Schizosaccharomyces pombe: one gene and its partners. The gene in region 3 interacts genetically with the main gene of each other region. Each region holds a gene or a part of one and is shown on either strand. Other genes may lie near its edges.

Region 1 (4,178 bases), 2.6 Mb from region 3:
AATTCTCCATAAGAGAGAGCACACAATATACTCCATGTCGGTCTTCCTCATTAGATTCGTCAAACCTTTTGATTGTATTTGAAAGCAAAGGAAGCAAACCAGAATCTATAAGGGAAGTAAATAAGGAGTTTAATGCGTCTGGGTCAACATCCTCGTCAGTCAGTTCTATCAATAGCTCCAATACCGTAATAGTAATATCCGCATTTTCATGGTTCATTAATTCTAAAAACGTGGAAACACAATCTAATTTAAGGAAAATGGGTATGAGGATAGGATACTCTGAAAGCACATTGAAGCTTCGAATTTCCAGATCAAGATCTGCCTCTGATTCTATAAACCTTTGAGGAGAAGTAGAATACTTGATGCGTAACTCCTGATTATTATTAATTGTTTTTTCAAGTCGTACTACCATGCGCTTCAATTCAGTAGGAGTCAATGAAGCAGGTTCTTCCTGGGCTTCCTGTTCGTCTAAAAAGTCTAAAACGGTTTTTTCACTCTTTTTAAGCCCACTTCCAAAAAATCTACCTCCTTCCTCGTCAAATTCTTCATTCTCCTCATCGCTATTCTCTTCAGCGAGTCTTCTGCGACTACTAGCTGGCTCCAAAGAGTCTGCTTCCTCAGGGTTCCTTTTCTTATTTGTTTCCTCGGTATTTTTAAAAATTGAATCTACATCCATTTAGAATAATGTATTTTTTATGCGCCAGTTTCCTTTTCAAATTGAATATATGAAAACCGTCTGATACAAAATAAATAATTTTGACAAACTTATATTTTATAGCCGCATCAAGTAAAATAAAAGCCTTATGAAAAGACTATCGTGCAATTCAATTATAACGCCTGACTCGTTCCTAAAATTCCTCTCGTTTACCAGTTCAAGTAAAAGCTAGGTAAGATGTAGGCATGTACAAAGTGTATCAAAAGTGAAAACCAGAATCTAAGCTTGGAAAAAAATAATAACAGCAAGTAAATTCCCCTCTGTTTTATAAATATTATACAACTCTTATATCCAAGAAAGGAGAGATTGGAAGAAGGATAAAAAGTGTTTATTTAAGAGAAGAGAAGCTAAATAAAGTGCATGCAGTTAACTCGAAATTTTTTAGGTTGATTAAATAAGGAAGAAATTAGATCCATCTTGTATTACCTTTCTTTTAATTGTAGCAATGACTTTTCAAAAGAGGGTGTAAAAATGACATCCTAACTGTATATATGATAAAATTACAATTATGGATTTTCTAAAGCAATTTAAATTTAGCTATTATCACTAAAACAGTTCGGCAATTTGCAATATTTGTCTAATAAATGAACCATTTGTTTCATAAACAATCAAATTCATTAAGCTACAAATCCTTAATTGTATCTTTAGTTTTGAGTCAATCAACTTACTGGGATCCTATAGCTTTTTTGAATATCATTTGGTAAATTCAAATATGGCTCTTAAAACTTGTATTTAATTTGATAAAATTTCTGTGTCGAGAGATAAATAAATAAAGACAGTTAGAAGTAGATGCTATTCAATTAATAAATAAAATACTCGTCTATTAAGCTTTACGGCTTTCCAAAAATTTATATATCAGAATAAAATATTTCACAATTTTTTTTTTTTTAAAAAAGAAAAAGCAATCTCAATTTTCATTTCCTTTAGTAATCTGCATACCTTTTAAAATTGTGCACCTTTTCGAATTTTACTAAATAACTTCTAACTTGAACTGTCTTTCTTATTCTGCGTTTGGTCTTGTAATCAAGTGTCAAGTCCTTTAATATCAGAAGGAAAAATTATCAATTTATAAGATTAGCATTTACGGGTGTTCAAGTTGTAGCATATAACCAATTTTTTATTGTTGGACGTAAATTCGCATGTTTCAAGCAGAAACAGTATGCTTAAAGCAGATTCAGTCAACATTACGATGCATTGATTTTTCAAAGGAATGTACTATCGAAATCACAAGTCGTGGACTACGGTTTGCAGTGGAGGAATCGCAGTCTTTGCAGGGTAAGACAAGTCGAGTCTCACATCTATGATCGTTAAAAAATTTGAAGCTACTTAATAAAGTTTCATATATTAATGCGATTCTTGAAATGCATTCACTTTTTCTTTATTGTTCACTCACACATTAAGCTCACGCCTTTCTTGATAAGTCGTTGTTTCAAACGTTTAATTTTCAGGGTGATTCAGATGGGGATACATATATGTTCCAGACGATGATTTCACCTCTTTTACAATCATTATCAATTTATACAGATGGAAAAGAACGGATTTCAACTAGTGCCTGGGATCAACCCACTGTAAACATAATGCACAAACGAGGCGTTATCTGCAAAGTACAGTATAATGGACCCGGCTGTCCATTTATATGGGAGTAAGGATTTTATCATTAACATTCTGTACTGACAAAAATAAAGAGTAGAGGAAATGGCTGGTTATGCTACGGCTTGTGAACTGTTGACTATGGAATGTGAGGACGACGTTGACATCAATAGACTTGCAAGCACATTGTGCACGAAGATCATTATGAAAAGTAACTGGCTATATGATGCCTTGGTGGAATTAGACAATAACATGGGCGAAAATTTAATTATTCATACATCATCCCAAAAATCAACCTTCTTATTGAGATGTGTAGGGGCATTATCCACTACGGAAATAGAATATCCAAACGAGAAAAGTGTTTTAGAGTCTTTTGAAACTGATTCTGAAAACACTTATTCCTACCGCTTCTCATTAATAAGACATGCGCTGAAAGCATTACAAGTGGGTTCTAAAGTAAACCTACGTATTGATGAAAATGGAACTTTGAGCATTCAAATCATGCTTGTCGGTCAAGAAGGGCTTTGTACGTTTGTAGACTTTTGTATTGTTCCTTTGGACCTTGTAAGTGAAGATGAGGAGGAGGATGAAGAAGAAGAACCAGCAGAATCTAATCAGTCGGACAATAACGTTTTACGAAACGATCCGAATTATCGAGGAGATGCGGAGACCGAGGATGAGGATAGCTAAATGATAATTTTAGCACTCAGCACTTTAGTGTTTCCGATAACTTCAAAAAAAGAAAAAGGTACAATTGATACTGAACAACTTATGATAATACACTTATTCAACGAATCATGATTTATTTCCCTGCTTTTTGTTTGGTCTTATTTAGGTAGCTTAAAGTCACACCGTTTCCTCACTTTTTCTATGCTTATTTAACACACGTATAAACAAGACGCTTTCCACTAGGCTGTCTAGCAAAGCATGTAGCCAACAAAATTCCCATGTATCATACACACGATTATACATTATGGTTAGATCTACGAAGCATTCAAAAATTCTTCAAACATTATTGATTTTTAAAAAATAGAAAATGCAAAGTGACACTCATAAAACATTTGTTTACTCAAAATGGAGTCTCATCTCCTCTTGCATTCCATTTTTGGACGTTGTTGAGTCTCTGATCACAAATTCTCGCACTTTCCAACTTTATCTTGATAATTCTCATATCCTCACCCTCCACGTATTGTTTCGTATTACCCTTGTCATTAGTGTTTAAATGCTTTTCTCTAAAGAATTCCTCTTCTTTGCTATTCTTTGGAAGAACGGTAGCAAGGCCATTCAAGGTCACTGATGTATTCGAGAACTGAGCCTGATTCATTTTATAAAGTAAGGTGTACAATGAGGAGGCATCAGGATCTGTTTCTTGACGATTAGTGGTCCAGTCATGAACTAGTAATGATACTCGAGGATTCTAGTCATCATGTTAGAAAAAAGAAAATACCAATCAGGATCAAGGATAAGTTAAACTTTTAAATATGATACATACCGAACTGATGTTAAAATATTTTTTACTGTTTTCTCCTGTTGACAAAATAATGCAATCCTCCACTTCGTAAGGGGCAGCGCTTCCTGCAGGTAAATAGGTAAATGTCATCAAAGAAGAGTGAGGCTGATCATGAAAGCAAGTAGCTAGTTGAATATATTTGGATGAGGACAAGCATCTCTTGATTTGGCTGGGGAACTCATGAGATGAATCGACTTTTGAGGCCATATTTACTTTCAGGTTATTGTGGTGCGACAAAGATTATAATTTGCAGAATAAATACTGGTGAATGGAAACTATTGATCCAGACAAAACTGTACGATAATTTCTATACTTGATTATCCTTTCCTAAATTTTGGTGGTACTCCTCTCTGAGTAAGCAGG
Region 2 (4,369 bases), 2.4 Mb from region 3:
TCTTGTGTGAATGAATCAAATCAAAGCAAATAAGAAAAGAGAAAGAAGAATTGAATAAGATGAGTAATTTAAAACATGAAAATTATTCCTTTTTTTTTTCTCTAAATGAAACGAAATGTACAATCCTAATTATCAGTCTATATTGAATATATAACAATAATAGTAACAATGCTATCTATGAAAACAAGAAAGAATTTGCAATTAAGGAACGGTAAAACTATTATAGAAAGAAGGTACGTTTAAGTCAATTTATATGTCTGTATATGTGTTGTTTATGTAGCGGATTTCCCCGGATACCTCTCCATATTTAAGTTATTGTGGGATTTTCACTATCGTTACCTCTATTGCGATACCAACTTTTCTAGGTAACAACGTTCAGCCCCTTTCGTACTGAATGTTGGTACAGTTTACATGTGTAGCCGACTGCATCGGAGGAGGAATAACTATCGAACATAGTCAATTCCGATGACAGACAGCCTGAAATTTTCGCACTTTTAAAGAGGAACTCGCCATTTTCATCACTTCTACGTAAAATGTATAGCGATGCCTCCAAAGTACAAGAAAGAATAGGCGGAAATTAATAGAAGCTACAGTCAATGGCATATATCTTCTCAAAAAAACGATTAAAATATTCAATTTTTATTAAGTATATATTTCCCATTGAGCACTTAAATGTTCAATTGAGACTTTATAGATTTCTGAACAGTTGCTTGTCTAAAAGATTAAAGAAAGATGAACCAAGGTTTATTCATATTCAAGTTAATTGCTTGAAAACATACGTTTGTGTTTAATCGTATGTATCTCTCATTGAAAACGTGAAAACATATGGATTTTATCAACAGATTTTCTGTGACTTGAACATTATATTTCTTTTTGGTGTTATCCTTTTAAGAGATATCAACGGAATAGTAAAACACTGAGTTGCCGAGATTACAACAACTGTATAAAATAAATAAAAAAGAACGGTAAGATCGATAAAGGAAGAGAGAGAAAATAAGTATAAGCATGGTAGATGTTGATTAATCTCTTTTCATTTTAATGTACATTAAAAATGTGGCTAGTCACTCATAACAATTATTCGTTAATTAAATCAAATCATAAACAAATTGAAGTAACCTTAGTCCACATAGGTACTAATGTAGTATGTTAAAACAGCCGTATGTTCATCTTCTGGATCTGTTATATAAACATAAAGTACTAGCGCATGTCCTTCACAGAAACCTGTAATGTAAAAAGGTTAGTTCGTGGTCATAAAAAGGATTCTCTCATAGTACATACACGCTATTACACGCTTTGCAACACTGGATATTTTTAACATGTTGACTAAGTCCTTGCTGTCTAGTCTCATGTGAACAAATTCTTCGGGTGCCCTTGTTTGAGAGGGATGTCGACTGATGTCTTCGACTTGACTAGGATCTAACTCTGGATTCTCTAATCCTTTCCATTTTGTGCTTACTCTAGCTGAAGGTATGTTTACCGATAACTGCAATTCGCCTGACATGTTGGCTGACATTATAATACGGTCTGAAAGACTCTTGTATTTGTCCACGACGTGTCTTAGAAAATTCAGTTGTGGAAGGAATATATGACAGTCTGGTTCAGGAGCAGTTGGTTCCTTAATAACTGACACGTATGATTGTGATAGTACTCGAACAGGTATATTATGAGTCACAATATTCGAACCAAACGCCCTTCCACTCCAAGTGGTAGACAACGAAAGTAATGGCTGGTTATTCTTCTTGGATAGACGAACAGTAGAATCACTAGCGTTGGCCGCTGATCGTAAGGCTTTATAGAAATTATCTATAGGAACTTCTAGATTTATCACGTTGTCTGCATTGCTTTGGACGACATAGTCCTCAAATATTGTTTCCTTTCCGTTTACGTTAGTTAGGGCAATCAAATAGAAAAAGATAGTTAATCATACGACTTCTAAAACTCTGTTTCTTTATTAGTTTCACAATGTGATTTTTTTCACCGTTAAATGCTTAATATCTTCACTTACGACCAAACTTGAGTCATCCTAAAATCTGGCACTATCACAAAATTTACAGTTTCAGGCATCAGACGAAGCCAGCAAAATCTTCCAATTTTATCTAGCGCCTGAACAAGACCTAAATTTGATTAGTAAACGAACTTTCTGCTGATCTTTTCCAACTTACGCGTCAACGTGTACAAGTTGCTAATCCTTGTTTTAAATCTCATTTTCAGTCTTTGATTTAACTAATGAGATTGAGATTTTTTGGCATTTTGTTTATTCAAGCGTTTAGCAGGTTAAAGTCGACCAATAATAAATTTTCGGTCGAAAAAACTACGAACGCGTAAAAGCCAGCTAAGAAATAGCAAACTGGGCATTAGCAACTGCATCGCAATCTTTATTAAGCAAATGCAAATTTTAATGGCAAGTGGAATAAAATTAATGAATAAAATTTAAAAAGATTTACAAAAGTCTTAGAGTCTAAAAAAAATTATACTCAAGAGCCTATTCGTTGTATCATTTATTTCATACGATTAGCTATTCCTAAATTTTAAATTACATTAAAAAAATAAATGGCAAGTAAGAAGGGTTCTAGCTAGAGCAGGAACATTGAATTTGGCTTTTGGAGGGAGTAGTGTTATAGCATAAATAATCCTCTTCTTCCTTGGAAAACCCCCAAGTATCTTCGAACGGACAGGCAGCCATTTTACACACTTTTTTAAAAAGCTCAAATTTCCCGATGTATGCTTCTTTAATCACCTCTTCAAGAACCCAATTTCTAAGAGTAAAATGTGGGTTGACTTTTTTCATGCTCGCTAATCGGGATGAATCTTCCTGAGTTTTCGTTGCTTCACTATATCGACCAACCCAATTAGTGAAAGCTTTGACAGATTCATTTCTAACTCTTTCATTATTCGGGTTTAGACAAATACATGCTTGCATCAATTTTGCAGCATATTCTTCATTCTCCATTGAAGAGGGAGAGTTTCTAGAAAGAAAGGAAAAACAATTTGGCATATCCAATTCATAATCCTCCAAAATTTGTAACAAATCAGTTATCAGAATTTTGTTAGATGAGTCAGAGGGAAGACCCACTCGTTTGAACATAAGATCATAGAAATCATTCTGGACAATATTTTTATACTCTTCTACTATCTTTTCAAAAACTTCAGAAGTATAAGCAAACGCCTTTTTTAACAAATCAGTAGAGTTATGAAGTTGTTCCATATATTGCAAGTCATCAACTTTGTCGCAAGCTCCAATTAACTCAACCAAAGCAGATGCTAATTTTGATAAATTCCAAATAATAATATCAGGTTGGTTGCGATATGAATATCGCAAAAATACATCGTCATGATTAGGTGTAAAAGATGGGTTGTAAACATCTAAAAATCCAAAAGGTCCATAATCAATTGATAGTCCCAGTATACTGGTATTATCAGTATTCAAAACACCATTCATAAATCCATATGCTTGCCATTTGGCTACAGTTTTAGCATTTCGATATGCAACATCTCGAAGAAGTTTTTCGTAGCGATTTCCAGTATCTCCACCATGAAATCCATCTTTTAAAACGAAATTTAGACAATAGTCGGCTAATTTCCGTAAAGACTCAATTTGATTATTAATCCCCTGGAGATCGAAAGTCCCAATTCTGATCCAAGAAGGGGCCATACGGCAAACAACGGCGCAAGGCTCTACAGTCTCACGTTGTGCTACAACACCTTCAAGATTGGAAATTGCCAGAGCCTGTGTTGTTGGAATGCCTAGAGCATATAAAGCTTCACAACATAAATATTCTCGAATGCTAGATCTTAAAACAGCCTTTCCATCTGCAAATCGAGAGTATGGTGTTCTTCCTGCGCCTTTGACTTGAATCTCAAAGCGTTTTCCAGTTTCCGGGTTGGTAAGTTCGCATAAGGATACTACGCGGCCATCACCCAACTGACCTGCCCAATCCCCAAATTGGTATCCTCCATAACATTGCGCCCAAGGACAACACTTATTGACATCAACGTTAGAACCGACAACAAGCTGTTGAAAAGCTTCAGTTTGAGTTTCAGATTCTTCGAGTCCTAATGACTTCACGGACGAAGGGCTATAAGCTAATAATTGAGAATTGGCTTTTAGTGATGGAGTCAAATAAGTAAATAAGCCGCCGCCTTCCACAAATCGAGGAACATGTAAGATTCTGTCATCAGCCTTTTTCATTGCCTGTACGGTCGGTACCAGTGGATCAGGCGGAAGATTTGATGTGAACGTTGAGCTGACAGGGAGATCCTTCAATTTTTTTGACATCGTATTGGTATATCGAATTAATGTTCTTTGCATACCAATGTTTGATTGTGCCCCAGTGTAAATTTGCTTACTTTATTGATTATAATAACAATA
Region 3 (3,732 bases):
TCTTAGCATCTGGTTCTATTGCCTCTATATCTCCTTCAGTAATTGCGATTGCCAAGCAGGACATTGTTTTAACCTATTTGTATCCAAGATTGGATGTTGAGGTTTCTAGACATTTAAACCATTTGCTAAAATCTCCATTTTGCGTCCACCCCGGAACTAGTCGTGTTTGTGTTCCCATAGATATAGAGAGGATGGATTCTTTTAATCCTTTGAAAGTACCCACTGTGAATGATCTTTTGCAAGAGTTGGATAAAAATTCCCAAAATGATAACGGCCATGGTCCAACAATGGAAACTAATACAACAGAAAACCAAAAAGATAATGCTAGGGGACAATCAAACAAGGGGCATGGCTTTTCAACTTCTCTCAATCCTTATACGCTGTACTTTAAATCGTTCAGTAGCCAGCTTTTTAAAGAAACAGTAGGAAATAAAAGAAAACATGAGAATTTGGAATTTTAAAATCGTATTTCAACAATCGATTCAAGCTTTAACTAAAAATTTGGGCATACATTTACTCATGAAAGGATGGAAGCTCTGACTTCTATTTACGTGGAGCATATTGTTTTCCGTTAAATCGACAGTAATAATATATTTTTTAATACCTCTTTATTTATCCTTTTTTGCTAAATACATTATAATAATAAAAACCAAAACAAATCAAAAGCATAACTAGTATGATTTTAAACTAGCGATTTAATTTTCTTTTTCCAATTCACTATCAGATTGATTTGACTGAGACCTAGTATCCTCAGAAACATCAAACGATTCGTCGCTTTTAAGCAAAATTCCCTTTCTTTTTGGAATGACCTCCATGAATGCCTTTTCCCAATCTCTGTACTCTAACCAAAGAGATAATATTTCAAAGACCTGATTAACCGTAAGTATTTTCCTATCCGTAATTTTAATGTATTCATCAATTGGAAGCTTTGCAGTTTTGATCCCTTGCTCAGACGCTTTATTTTGACATAAATTTTTGTACCGATTCTTGTCGACAATCGCACCAATAATATAAATCTTGTCTTCATCGAGTTCGGTGATGGTGTTATCTGAATCAGCAGAAAGATATACTAATTTTTCTTTTTGGGATTCAAATTCCTCTAAATAAGACTTAGTAGTTGGGTTGTATCGTTTCCAATTATTTTGTTGCCCCTTTAGCACAAAATCTTGTCTGGTTTTCAAACGTCCACCAAAGTTGGTAGCAAAAAGTTCTACAGGATGTAAAGCTGTACGATTTGCAGAATGACATCTAGTAACCTGTTGACATAAAGAGTTGATTTCTTTATCGTTCATCAGATCATCAAATGCACAATCCAAAACAATTCGGATACTACTAGGAACGACCTTTCCTAGTCTGATCCTCTTCTTTTGACTTTTAACTACTTCGCCAGCTTCAATTTTTCGCTTTCTTTCCTCTTTTCGTAATCGCTTTTTTTCCCGGCGCATCTCTGCTCGCTTTTCACGACCTGCATCCCACTCTTGCTGTCTTTTTAATCTTTTTAATGCAGATTTGCTAAGAACGGGTTGCTCTTGAGTTTCATTTTTAGAAACGTCAGCTTCAGAAGTATTTGTGTCATCTTTACCAATATCTAAAGCGTCTTTGTTTTCCATAATTTCCCAACTTTATTGCAGTCAAAATATAGCCTAAATTTATCTAGTTATATCGTTATTTTGAACCTAGCCAGGCTGTTCATCTAATGGAAAAAGTAAGAGTGTTGTGAAGTATAAAAAGTTGGTAACTACGCCAATCTCGCAATTATTAACTTTGGGTAATAAAGGGATTCAGGAAGTCGAAAATAAAAAAATTTTGCAAAATTGTATTATTTACAAACTTCGACAAAACAAGCTTTGAAAAATGGCAACAAACGATCAAAAAATCGATAACAAATCGACGGTATCAAATATGCTTGAAAATCCTATGTTTCAGACATTTTCAAAAAAAGAAACAGAAAAGCCATCACTATCTGAATATATGGAACAACTTACTTCAGAGTTTGGAGAAGAGCTAGACAATTTAAGGCAAAAGGAAATTTTTGATCATAACAAACTACAATTGCTTATTGAAAGTTTGCGTGCTGGTCACAAAATTTATGAATAATGGTTTATATAACTTAGCAAAAAACAGACCTGTATTATTCTATTAAAAAAGATAAGCTTGCGGTGCTAATCTTGATCCAACTTATCGTCTTCGTTCAAAAAACCATCTTCGGATGCTGTATAAAACTCGTTATCAGAGATTTCGACAAAAGTAAATGTTTTTTCTATTTCCTCAAAACTTCTCGTATAGAAGTCAGAGGAAGAAACTTTGTTCGAATATGGGGATTCGCTAGGAGCATCTTCGGGTTGTTTATTCGATTCCGCGTTTTTCTGGGCTTCTTTTGCGTGCTTTTTTATTTCTTGGTTCATTTTCCTTAAATTTTTTTTATGTTTTTTGCTGTTTTCATGGTTCTCCAATTGATTTTGTGATCGAAAGTTCTTGTTACAAACCATACACATTATTGGATTTGAATTCACAATTTCTTTGCTCAAAGATTCATCATCGCTGGATGTTTCTTCCTGATCGATTATTGTCCAAGACGCAATTGATTGGTTTTTAAAAGTTTCCTGGTACTGACGCCGATCACGTTCACTTTGCTTTCGCGATGCTTCTTGTAGGGAGTTGTATCTTTCTCCATCGCTTAGTTTCACAACGTTTTTTCTCCGTGGATCAAGATCACATGCTTTTCCTATTAAATCTCTGACAAGTTCGTTATATCGCTGAATGCAGTATTGTATCTGCCTTTGATTTTGTCTCTTCATTAATCGCCGTGTAGCTGCATCACTTTCCTCTTCTTCATTATATAGAGCTTCCCATTCAAAAGATTTTTTCGTTGAAAATCTTAGCCATTTTTGATAAATAGGTTTGGCATACGTCCAAAGCCAAGTTGTGTCCCCTAAAGTTGGAAGGTCGTCTGTGGAACCCGCTATTTTTTCGTCTTGTCGCAGTCTTTCAACGAACGCTGAGGTGCTTTCAAAAGGGATTTTCTCAATTGTTTGTAGATGCTGCAAAACGTCTTCAATTTGTACAGAATATTGGTTTCTTAGATAGTCTTTTTCATGCCATTTTCGTTTATCATCATTAGAGAGAATATTGTATGCAGCGTTTATTTGGGAAAATATTTCGTTATAGTCTTCAATGCCCGGATTTCTATCGGGATGATATTGCAAAGCTAATTTTCTGTTATGATTAGTAAAGATACACAAAGGCGATCAATTCTTCACAACTTAAACGATTATGTTTTAATCACAGATCGAAAAGCTGTAAATTTATATTCTATGTTGATTGATTAAGTTGAAAACAAGTTTTCATACCGGTAATTTGCTTTAATCTCTTGCAAGTCAGAGTCATGATTCACTTGCAAGATTTCATAGCAATCCATATCCTTAAAAGGGTTATTCATGATTGGTGATAAATAATTTGCATAAAATCATAAGTTAACCAGTAAAAGACTTATATAAAGTAGCTTCAAAGACAAAATTCCAAGGCCGAGGAGTGGAATGAATTATCAACCGCAATTGAGATTGCTTGTGATAAACTAACAATTCAATTCTACAATTGAAATACAAAAAAAGCAAAAAAATTGAGAGTTGCCCGTTCAATCGCCAAAATACAATACCTTCAGTACGTTCTATGTAAAATGGTGATCTTTCTCACAAACCGGCGACAATAGCTCCCAACTGTGTTTCAAAAAAT

The links.
Region 1: mutations in trm10 (region 3) and rad1 together harm fitness more than expected from each alone (negative genetic interaction), as found in Schizosaccharomyces pombe (2 studies listed by BioGRID).
Region 2: mutations in trm10 (region 3) and hus1 together harm fitness more than expected from each alone (negative genetic interaction), as found in Schizosaccharomyces pombe (2 studies listed by BioGRID).

What each region holds. Positions count from the first base shown.
Region 1 is NC_003424.3:4,976,765-4,980,942, forward strand, and holds rad1 (checkpoint clamp complex protein Rad1), read left to right. Parts: upstream 1-1,813; 5' UTR 1,814-1,854; coding exon 1,855-1,990; exon of another isoform or gene 1,991-2,116; coding exon 2,117-2,357; exon of another isoform or gene 2,358-2,400; coding exon 2,401-2,995; 3' UTR 2,996-3,374; downstream 3,375-4,178. Other genes in the region: SPOM_SPAC1952.06C (uncharacterized protein), read right to left, coding at 1-676; SPOM_SPAC1952.08C (pyridoxamine 5'-phosphate oxidase), read right to left, coding at 3,375-3,722, 3,798-4,022. UniProt on the Schizosaccharomyces pombe protein: Recombinational reparation of DNA damages induced by UV and gamma radiation.
Region 2 is NC_003424.3:4,820,374-4,824,742, forward strand, and holds hus1 (checkpoint clamp complex protein Hus1), read right to left. Parts: upstream 2,331-4,369; 5' UTR 2,206-2,330; coding exon 2,163-2,205; exon of another isoform or gene 2,115-2,162; coding exon 2,006-2,114; exon of another isoform or gene 1,941-2,005; coding exon 1,928-1,940; exon of another isoform or gene 1,874-1,927; coding exon 1,279-1,873; exon of another isoform or gene 1,222-1,278; coding exon 1,118-1,221; 3' UTR 614-1,117; downstream 1-613. Other genes in the region: fmp40 (adenylyltransferase), read right to left, coding at 2,570-4,276. UniProt on the Schizosaccharomyces pombe protein: Essential in controlling the S-M checkpoint that couples mitosis to the completion of DNA replication. It is also required for the response to DNA damage.
Region 3 is NC_003424.3:2,425,898-2,429,629, reverse strand, and holds trm10 (tRNA m(1)G methyltransferase Trm10), read right to left. Parts: upstream 1,696-3,732; 5' UTR 1,611-1,695; coding exon 696-1,610; 3' UTR 540-695; downstream 1-539. Other genes in the region: DNA primase catalytic subunit Spp1, read left to right, coding at 1-461; ribosome assembly protein Rsa3, read left to right, coding at 1,855-2,097; epr1 (ATPase co-chaperone protein), read right to left, coding at 2,163-3,216, 3,351-3,439. UniProt on the Schizosaccharomyces pombe protein: S-adenosyl-L-methionine-dependent guanine N(1)-methyltransferase that catalyzes the formation of N(1)-methylguanine at position 9 (m1G9) in cytoplasmic tRNA.